Linked DNA regions of Bombyx mori. The protein of the gene in region 1 purifies or fractionates together with the protein of each later gene. This does not show direct contact. Links are inferred from orthologs where the notes say so. Each region holds a gene or a part of one and is shown on either strand. Other genes may lie near its edges.

Region 1 (3,661 bases):
GATAAGACGTCCGGTGCATTCGTATGTAGCGATGCACCGGTGTTCGAATTCCGCAGGCGGGTACCAATTTTTCTGATGAAATACGTACTTAACAAATGTTCACGATTGACTAAATTGAAAATTGCTATGCTATTTATAGTACAGTACAGTAGGTGGCGCGCAAATCGATTTGACAAATTTATTTACAATTGTTGATTCGAGAATACTAAATGCTAGATGGAATGGGAATGAAGAACTGGAATTAAAATTATTAAACCTGAAAAGTCGTTCGCAGCTGTTGAACCGATCTTGACAACGAATGCAAGCACCGCACGGCCGCTAGACTCACCTGTAACACATTCATACTTCTATCAAGGTGTGAAGTAGTCGATTTCAAAGCCGAAAAGAAACAATAATCTTAACAAAGACAGAAAACAAAACAATCAACAATTCGCATGGATCAAGAGTGGAACCTTCGGAAACATATCTCGTTCTCTCTCAGACAGATGTATATGTTTGTCTCTTTTTAATGTCGATTTTTCGTTTCATCAAATTTCAAATCTTTAATGTACTTCAAAAGTTTCAATTTCAAAAATGCATTGGAATTTTTGTTGTAAATTCAATTTGCTCATTGGCCGTACACGGAATTTTAATATCGGCATTAATAATTAAGTTACATGCGAATGTATGAGTATGACTAGTATGTGTTAGCGTGTGAATTACTGTCGACTAGTGCCTGCATCTTTATTTCTTTCCTTACTTAATAGCTGATAGTCTAGTGAGGTCACTTGGTAACACTAGCCCTAGCAAGAGCAGTGCTATGCTGAATCTATCAAATGCAAGAGCAGTGCTTTGCTGAACTACCAATGGATCGGAATCGAACCATCTGCGAAGTTCTAACGAAAAATACAGTGGGTTAAGCCTGCACCTGTATTATCTTCAGTCTATATTTTGGAGAATTCCCTTACTAGGTACTGAACACAATATTCAATGTTAACGTTTCATTTAAAAATTAAGATATGGCATAATTAATAGATATGGAGGCAATAGAATTCGAATATTCACAATCAGAATTTATGTTCACTTGACAATGCCAATATTAATCGTAATTTCAAGCTTTTAAAATTCCTCCTTCGAGTTATCAATACGAAAATGTGCCACGGCTCCTTATCGAAGCGGCGATAGTACACGTACGGATGGACGTAAACATTATTTTAAATAACCTATATACGTCTTTATATATATAATTCTACTGCACGTGTGTATGTTCACTGAAGTCCTCCTAAGCGGCTGGACCGATTTGAATGAATTTTTTTATATGCGTTTGGGTGGCGCCCTGGATGGTTTAAATTCACAAATCAGCCCGGCAGATGGCGCTACAGTCGGTATATAGGTTATTTATCTGTACTGCAACTAAACGGCTGAATCAACTTGAATTTTGAATTTTTTATGTATGCATTCACAGGACGACGTCTGTCGGGTCCACTATTACTTATAAATATGAACATAAGTTGTATATATCGGAGAAGCCACAATTATTAACACCATCGTCAGACATCATAGGGGCGAATAGGGTGATCGAGCTAAGAGAAATATTGAGTACACCAATCACGTTTGTTGTCTTAGAACAATTTAGAAATCTTCTCTTGATATTAGCAAACGAAAAAGAATGACAATTCTTAGGACGGAGGCACAGCTCTTCAAGAAGGTTGGTTGGTAAGTGTGTAATGGCGTCTAAGCGCCTCCATCGGCTAAGTTCTGTCGTAGCACGAATTTAGCAGAGTTCCGACGATAGCGCGATCGTGCTGCCATCTCTCGGGAATCGTGCTGCGTTTCGTTTAGCTACCAAAGTAATGACCGTCTCTGACATATGAGTCGACTATTATCAAAGGCGGCAATCTGACTTTTGGACAATGATTAGTAAATCAGAAAAACGAATTATTGACTTTGTATTCCATTGGCAGTCACAAAACTCTTCGGAACGACATCTTAGATAAATAACAGGTTAACTATTAACCTTTATTTAATGCAGGTTTTGAACCGTATTCTTTGAAGGAGACGATTATATTCAAATAAATCTGTATTGACATATCAATAAAAAATTTTTGTCCAAATGTACAGATTGCCGCCTTTGATAATAGACGACTCATATATAAGTTATACTGGGACCTCATTTAATTACTCATTAAAAATATTAATTTGTTTTCAAAGGAAATTTCATCTATACTAATATATAAATCTACAGTGGCTTTTACGGATGTCCCGTTATAACTACTGAACCATGCATGCGATTGACTTGAAACTTGGTATCCATGTAGAAAATACATGTACTTAATAGATAGGCTAATATTTATATGAGTGTTGAACTCCCTACACCAGTTGCGGGGGCGTTAATGATGAGAATCTTTGTGGGGGTGAGAAATAATAATGTTAATTTTAAATGCCCAGCGGACGGTTACAGCTAGTTGTTAATAATTCTATAGCTGTGTGCGTGTGTGTGTGTGTGTGTAACTTACACAGGGATCAGGATTGTTCAGTCCGTTGACGACGTGCACCATCAGGCCGTGGGTTTCGATGATCATTTTCCTGATGTCCTCGTCGTTCGCTCCGAGCGAAGCGAAACATTTGAACGCGCCTTGCTTGGCGGCCGCGGACTGACAGTTCACGATGTCCGCCAGGGAACTCATCAAGTGATTCGATATCGCCGCTAAACGCTGGAGGGACGTGTCGACCTATTCCGGGATACCAGAACGATTCATATCTGAGTATTCAATTAAATTGGTAGGCAGCGGCTTGGCTCTGCCCCTGGCATTACTGAAGTCCATGGGCGACGGTAACCACTCACCATCAGGTGGGACGTGTGCTCGTCTGCCTACAAAGGCAATAAAAAAATGCGTTATTATTTAAGAGTAAAAATGTAGTCAGCGGCCATGAAGCAGTATAGCGTTTCAGTTTGAAGGGTGTGGCAGCCGTTGTAACTATACTCAGACCTTAGAACTTATATCTCAAGGTGGGTGTCATTTACGTTGTAGATGTCTATGGGCTCCAGTATCCACTTAACATTAAGTGGGCCGTAAGCTCTTCCACCCATCTAAACAATAAAAAAAATTAAAAAGTCAATTCAGTGAGTATAATAATAATAACTATTAGCTAATGATAATAACTTTTAGCAACGTATTAAATCTGGACAATAGCTCAAAGACATCACCCCAGACTCAGTACCCCAATGAATTTTAGTATTGTTTTCAGTTTTTTTTTAATTATTTTTTATACTACTTTAGGCATACGGTTTTTGCTTAAAAACATTTGACAATAGCCGCCGCCACCAACAATATTATACATCACCGAATAAGTTCGACAAGGTACATTACATATTACTATTTGTCTACTGCACGTAACGTTATCTATAATGGAGCTAACCGGGCCGCAGATACTACCAAAACATGTCAAATAATACACTAAATAGATCATAAACTATTGTCTTACATTGGTTATTACTAGATTGTAAAAAAAATAATTAAATATATGTTTAATAGGTTTTGTCGCAGTTGTCAATTCAATTCAAAATAACGTCTTTCCTCTGTAACGGCGACGGTGAATTACTGCTCATAATTTGAAATTATTATTATGAATCCGTCTGGGGGTAGCTGGAATAGCCCCTTAGGCTACCAGCGAATAGACA
Region 2 (3,661 bases), on another chromosome or scaffold:
AATATATTCGATAAGTCTGCAACACACAGACGAGATCAAGAACCTTATCCGTCATCGCCAGGAGGTCAAGAACCTTATCCGACATCGCCAGACTAGTTGTCCAGGCCGTCTTGCTTGAGGACAAGGGATTCGGTATACTCGAGTGGTACAATGCCAAGTTACAATCTTGCAGATTGCACTGTTATTTTTCTAAGGAAATGCATAACCAATACGCTTTTGCGACTTCCAAAATGAAGCAACATCTCGTCGTTGTTGGTGGCTTGGTGTATGCTGATTAATGACATGTTCTGGTTCGAAGTATGGGCCAGCACTTACGCAACTGAGACTTCACTCACGTTTCTCAGAGCGGTGCTGTGAGCTCATCCACCGATTAACCCTTTGTGGTCCTAAGACTAAACTATATGTCCAATACGTGTGGATTTTGAATCTCAAAGGGTTAATTCTATATAACCGTGAACACTAATGTATTATATTCAAGCCAGCGGAAAATACAGAATGGTATCTTGATTCATAACTCATGTTAAGTCAATCAATGATGATATTCCTTGCTTGCGTCCTTCTTCGCTTTGTCTAACTCCGATAACTTTGGCACTAAATCCGCTACTAATATACCAAGCCGCATAGATTCCAGAGGAATATTAATGTCAGACAGACAGCGGGTTGTAAAACTATAATTAAACTAGAGACTACATAATTTTATTGAAGTACATCTTCACAAGCGAATTCAAATCTTCGCGACTTTACCATAAGAAAAATGGGCAAGATACTTGTTGCTCATTTCCAAATATGTACATTACAACACCGAAATGAAAATATTTCAATTCAGTACTACCCATGTAGAGTAACTACAATCAGGTCAATTAGGCCCGCAGTACCATTTCAGACCATGTTGGTTTAATTCTCATACAGTCACTGTACGAAAAACCGTTTTATCACTCACCTGTACCACATATCTTATCCTCATCTTAAGTATTAATGGTATGACATGCTGGACGGTGGCACCCACGTTTTTTTTTTTTTTTTTTTTTTTTTTTTTTTTTTTTTTTTTTTTTTTTTTTTTTTTTTTTTTTTTTTTTTTTTTTTTTTTTAAATAAATATAAATATTTACTAACAATCACGCCACGTTAACTGGTCCCGTGCTAAGTTCGTAAAGAACTTGTGTTACAAGTACCAGATAACGGAAATAAATATAATATTTTTTATTATACACATACATATATTTAATATACACCCATAACCCTGGAAAGACATTTATATTTATCATACAAATATCTTCCCTTGGCGGGATTCGAACCCGCGACCCCCTTGTGTAGTGACCATGTCACTTACCACTACACCAGACGGCCGTTAATTGTCACTCAAAAGGAGCTCCCTTCCGGCGGTACAAAATGTACTTCTAGGGATGATATCGAGGCAGTATCTAATGATAGGCAGTGGCATAGACGTGTCCACCAAATCTCCTGGCCGCTTTTCAGTCTATTGAAGTTATAAAAGAGAACAAAGACATACCATAAAGGGCAGTCCACGCCTGGTTGATGACGTCAAGACACACGGTCCCCGACACCTCATCTATGTTGGGGTGGTAGACCTTATTCATGAAACCGATGGACGGAGACTTGAAGGGGTAATGATCGGGAAGGTGCACGCGTACTCTCCACACACCACCTTCGTATGGCGCTTAAATTATAAAACAAACGACGTAGATTAGAATATATCTTTACTGGCATTTATTAATAGTCTCAAACACCTTACTTCAAAAATGCTGAAATTCCCCTAAAAAAAAAAAAAACCTCTTATTTTTAATGGCGGTAATACGGGCTCAGTATCGCATATTATCTATGTACGTGTGGCAGACATGGTATGCATTTTTTATAGTATTAAATGGGGAGATTTGCCGACTTAACCTAATAGGTATGGCTCTAATAAAGAATAAAAAAAAAAAAACAAAAAAATGTGGAGACGAAGATCGCGACCTGCTTGAGGCCACAGCCAGTAGAGTCCCGATTAGTATTGTATAAGAATGTTCCATGTTTTAATTCTTGGTTGCTTTGCGATGGAAACAGGCAGATTGGTAATACTATTTACCAGTGCATATTCACGATATCACCTACGATCAGTAAAGTTACAATATCTTTCAATACAGATTCGACCGTTTGATTTCAGAATATTCTAATTGAATTTGAGCAAAACGAGATCGTTAACAAGAATTATTAACAAATCGTTTGGACATTTGTTTATTGAGTGTGGTTCTTTGAACTTTGAAGCCTTGTTATTCAACGGTTTTTATGACGTAACCTGTTTACAACTCCTTTTTTTAATGCGTAGATAGGCAAACGATCTCATCGCCCACCAGGTGGTTAGCGGAGCCGTAGACCAAGCAATATAAAACCAACAGCCAATTATAAATCCTACGGCAATGCGCAGCATAATTAAAAAGCATAATAAAATTTAGCCCCATAAATTATTGAATATTGTAAATAATCTATATTTTATTGCTTACGTGGATAAACGAGCTCACGGCCAACCTGATGTTAAGTGGTTATCGGAGCCCATAGACGTCTACAGCGTAAATGCCGTCACCCACCTTGAGACAGCATTTGTAAGGTCTCACTTTTAACAGTACAATGTGCTTCACGGCAGAAATAAGCAGGGTGGAGGTACCTACCCGTGGGGACTCACAAGACGTCCCACCACCAATAAGTAAGTAATAATTTTTATAGTAAGTAATAATTTTTATAAACACATAAATTTATATATTGACCAGAGTTTATCTCTGTACACGAATTGGTTTGCGGCCATTTGCCGAGATAAGCCCACCGAAGCACTCGGAGAAATGGACGAAGTTAGTTTGTTTACGTTTCGCTTATAATAATGGGTTGTAGATAATAGATCTGGATAAACATGTACTCACTTCCTGGAGGTCCGAAGAATTTCACGCAGAACTCGTTAAGGCCGCTCAGGATTGTCACTTCGTGCTTGCTTTCGATACTGTATAGTTTTAGTTAAAGAAATTTCAATGGTTAACAGTACACACACACGCATTACAATTGCCAAATATTAATTTTAAAAATGCTCACATCCAGTGGTGGATTTACACTAGGGGTAGTCGGAGCAAGTGCCAAGGGCGGCAAATTTTTGAAAGTGAAATTTCTTTTTTATCTTATCAAGATTGCTCAATATAATTAAGTAATTCTATTAGAATTAATAATTTTCTGTTTAATTGATAATTTAACAAATTCAATTCATCCATTATTTGTGAATTATAATTTTGGTACTTTTGGTAAAAATTTATAATCAGAATGATTTAATCAATTTATTTCCTTGGACATTTAAAATAATAATCGATTTTTCTATTTTCTGGAATTAAATAAATTTAATTTTTTTTTAATGTATTATAATGATGAGTCACCCTTAGTGCAAAGTTTATAATTGTTAGAAAAAACAACAAATATTTTACTTATGTTTTTGTAATATATAACATATGATAACGTTTCTGCAATCAATTAGTTATTTTAGTTTTGAAAAATAAAATATATAAACTATAAGTTAAGTAAAATACCAGTATTGGGGCGGATTTTTTTCCGGTGCCCAGGAGCGGCATTAAGTTTCAAGTCCGGCCCTGCAACCGTCTCTCGTGAATAAATCTCGTTCGAAGTTGGTA
Region 3 (3,661 bases), on another chromosome or scaffold:
AGGTGTAAAAAAAATGGCTAAATTATTATTTACATCGCGTGTCCTGCAAAAACTATTGATGATAGAATAAAATAATATACTACGACTTTGTAAAACACATTATTATTTACAAAAAGTGTCGCGACAACATATGTCTAACTATTATAGTTATGCCGCAACAAGTGTTCTTTTATTTAAAAAAATAAAACAACGTCAAATATCGTTGAAATTTTTGTTAAAGACCCGAGCGGAGCCGGTGCGGACCGCTAGTGTAAAATAAATAGAATCAATGTTAGAATTCATCAAGATATCGTTTATACGGATATAGTGACAGCACCTTCACCTGCGTGGAGGACGGCTCGGCGAGGGCGCTGGCCTGCTCCTTCAGGTGTTCCAGACGCTTCTTGCAGACGTAAGCGACCTGGAGCTCTTCGTTAATAGCCTCGCTCGCTTTTCGCTTCATCGTTGTCAACTTCTCGACCTGCAAACGCTGAATCTTTAGGTTTGAGGATTACGTTGAAATGCCGACCAGCGCTGGCCAGATTGAAGACCGATCCGACCCGATAGGTCGGGCGTGTGAGATGCCCTCTACTTTTGTGAATCTAAATCTCTTGCATATGTACAAGTTCCAAACAAAAATATGCAGGCAGTCGCTCTACTAACAACTTACTTGCGCGATGGAAGACCTTTGCTTTTACCTATAAACTGAGCGATATTATTCTAAAATAATTCTAGCAGGACAAGTGCAATACCAGAATATGGTGTGGTTTGTGAGATGAGCCTTACTTACCTGAGTACCCTTTTTTTGGAGCTACATGTTCTTCGCAAGAAACTCAGTGGGCTGTGTCTATGGGTTAATTAACTCGTCGAGGTCTTCGTCGCAAGCGACAGATTCGGCGAGGACGGTGACCAGTGAGAATGCTGCTGCCCATTATCTGATGACTAAACCCAGGTTAATCAATGAATGAAAATTGATGCATTGTTTACGCTTGTATCTAGCAGTTGTTGTGGCCTAAAGGGTCCGTCCGGTGCATTCGTATGTAGCGATGCACCGGTGTTCGAATCCCGCAGGCGGGTACTAATTTTTCTAATGAAATACGTACTTAACAAATGTTCACGATTGACTTCCACGGTGCAGGAATAACATCGTGTAATAAAAATGAAACCCGCAAAATTATAATTTGCGTAATTACTGGTGGTAGGACCACTTGTGAGTCCGCACGGGTAGGTACCACCTGCTTATTTCAGCCGTGAAGCAGTAATGCGTTTCGGTTTGAAGGGTGGGGCAGCCGTTGTAACTGTACTGAGACCTTAGAACTTATATCTCAAGGTGCGTGACGCATTTACGTGGTAGATGTCTATGGACTCCAGCATCCATTTAACACCAGGTGGGCTGTGAGCTCGTCCGCCCATTTAAGCAATAAAAAAAAAGTACAGACTTACCTACTTCTCTAGGAATATGATAACAATATTTTATTTTATTTTAAATACCAAAAGTCTAACTTCAAACTTCAATGTTGTGTACTGCTGAATTGACGTAAAAAAAAAAACAAAAAAAACTTCAGACACAAGTTTCTAGACACAAATTCACAGCCAGACTGAACGTTTGCCTAAATGTTAAATAAACATTAGCTGACACAGTTTTCTGTTCGAGATCGTACGCGTATTAGTGATAGACGAGTAGAGGACGATGATATGCAAATTGGCAGTAATGCGATTGGTCGTCCATATTGTTCCCCTTACCCCCCAATCCTCGATTCGTGTAATACACCATTTTTTATTCATGTAAAAGGTTTTGAACAATAAACACCTAACTGGAGGAAAAATACGCCACAGACTATTTTATATTTTTCCGAGAAAAGAACTTTTAATACGACGCTGGCCACCGGAGAAGGAACTCGTGAACCATTTTACGAGAAAATGTATTACGAGTAATAATGTAACGATACAATTAAAGCTACTTTAACGATTTTATCTCGCGTTTTTTTTACGGTTCATTACTTTTTTTTTACCTATTCGCTGGTAGTCTAAGGAGCTATTACGAGTAGGTGAGCTCACGTATTCAACCACGTTCAAATTCACTTGATGAATGTTTGTAAACCTAGCGACAAATTCAAAAGGGGCTTGTGACACCCCCATTTGCCGCGACGCTAAGGTTAAGAGCCGCTGATCTAACTACAGTAATTACATTAAGCTCTCGCGGTACATTTTATTATAATAATTTTAATGTACATACCATGCCACCCAATAGACTATCGATCTCTGTATTTGTGATGGGTTGGTTCTTGACCGTTTCCATTTCTGTGGCGGCACTGCTAACCTGACGCGCCTCAACATCGAAGACGCGTTGAGCACTGCGGTACTTCTTGTTAAACACTTCATACGGCACCTGTGCATGATCGTAATTATACACGGTGTTAAGAAACTACCCGTAAAAAAAGGAGCTTAAATGGGGCCTTATAACGAGTCCATCACTACATAGTATAAAACAAAGTCGCTCTCTCTATCCCTATATCCCTATGTATGCTTAAATCTTTAAAACTACGCAACGGATTTTGATCCGGTTTTTTTTAATAGATAAAGTGATTGAAGCGGAAGGTTTATATGTATAATAACATCCATTAAATAGTTGAGAAATCAATAATAAATTACAGTTTCCGAAGTGAAGCGAGGGCGGGTCGCTAGTTCACAATATTTAACAGCCGTAGTAATGCTGTATAACAATAAAATAAATATTATTATTTGCACTCATGTGAAAATCCTATTTCAATAAAATTAAAGAGTAGGTAAGCAACGCAGAATGTACCTACATTTCTACCTAATTCGCGGAACAACAAAAGTTTTGACAAGGACGACAAGTACCTACTTGACTATAATGACATCCTTGTATTGAAGTAGCAAACATTTATGAATGAAAAATAGAAAAACTATCAAAGTAGACAATTATTACGTAAAATAGGTACGTAGGCCTTTCTGTTAAATTACTGCTTACTAGGGTTGACAAAATTATAGGCTTTGATAATTAATCATATTTTTTACGGGGTATTTTGTAACACGTTATATATTATGTTTGTAATGAAGCAGCGTACCGAAAGTGAAAACTTATCTTCAATTGAAAAGTCTTCATTTATTTATTTATTTAATTAGCTATAACAACATAGTGAGCACTAATTCAGAATATAGGTGAATAGAAAAGAAGGTTCATATTAAGATCCCCTCAATTGTACAAATGACATTGCAATAGTTGACAGCATTATTAATAATTTTATTTATTTTATACATTGTAAAACTATTAATACCAAAATTTTACAATTCCATTCGAGTAACAAATTTCAGAAAATCTATACTAAATTAAAAAAAAAAAAGTTCTATTAATCATAACTCTATCGAGTCTTTAAAGATCTATTAGAACAAAAACTTAAGTAACTAAAAAATCATCAAGTATAACTGAACAGTGATTTAATTGTGTTAATTCTATATATCTGAGAACATAATATATGTTTAGTTTATTTTTTGTTCATTATTACTTTACCACATACTATATTATGCATACATTTACTAACATGGCATACATTATAGCAATAATATTATAGAATTTACTGGTGGTAAGATGTCTGCCCACATGAGTAGGGACCACATAACTATTTCCTATTTAAGAGCTTATACTCTTCACTTGAATTCT

The links.
Region 2: the proteins of armadillo repeat-containing protein 8 (region 1) and ubiquitin-conjugating enzyme E2 H purify together in Homo sapiens (affinity purification with mass spectrometry; 3 studies listed by BioGRID and IntAct, with this or other methods). This does not show direct contact. The link is inferred for Bombyx mori from reciprocal best matches to the Homo sapiens genes ARMC8 and UBE2H.
Region 3: the proteins of armadillo repeat-containing protein 8 (region 1) and E3 ubiquitin-protein transferase MAEA purify together in Homo sapiens (affinity purification with mass spectrometry; 5 studies listed by BioGRID and IntAct, with this or other methods). This does not show direct contact. The link is inferred for Bombyx mori from reciprocal best matches to the Homo sapiens genes ARMC8 and MAEA.

The regions. Positions count from the first base shown.
Region 1 is NC_085117.1:9,122,628-9,126,288, reverse strand, and holds part of armadillo repeat-containing protein 8, read right to left. Parts: intron 2,712-3,661; coding exon 2,496-2,711; intron 329-2,495; coding exon 257-328; intron 1-256. UniProt on the Homo sapiens protein: Component of the CTLH E3 ubiquitin-protein ligase complex that selectively accepts ubiquitin from UBE2H and mediates ubiquitination and subsequent proteasomal degradation of the transcription factor HBP1.
Region 2 is NC_085133.1:414,812-418,472, reverse strand, and holds part of ubiquitin-conjugating enzyme E2 H, read right to left. Parts: intron 2,989-3,661; coding exon 2,912-2,988; intron 1,678-2,911; coding exon 1,510-1,677; intron 17-1,509; coding exon 1-16. UniProt on the Homo sapiens protein: Accepts ubiquitin from the E1 complex and catalyzes its covalent attachment to other proteins. E2 ubiquitin conjugating enzyme that transfers ubiquitin to MAEA, a core component of the CTLH E3 ubiquitin-protein ligase complex.
Region 3 is NC_085132.1:9,954,839-9,958,499, forward strand, and holds part of E3 ubiquitin-protein transferase MAEA, read right to left. Parts: intron 2,369-3,661; coding exon 2,216-2,368; intron 461-2,215; coding exon 317-460; intron 1-316.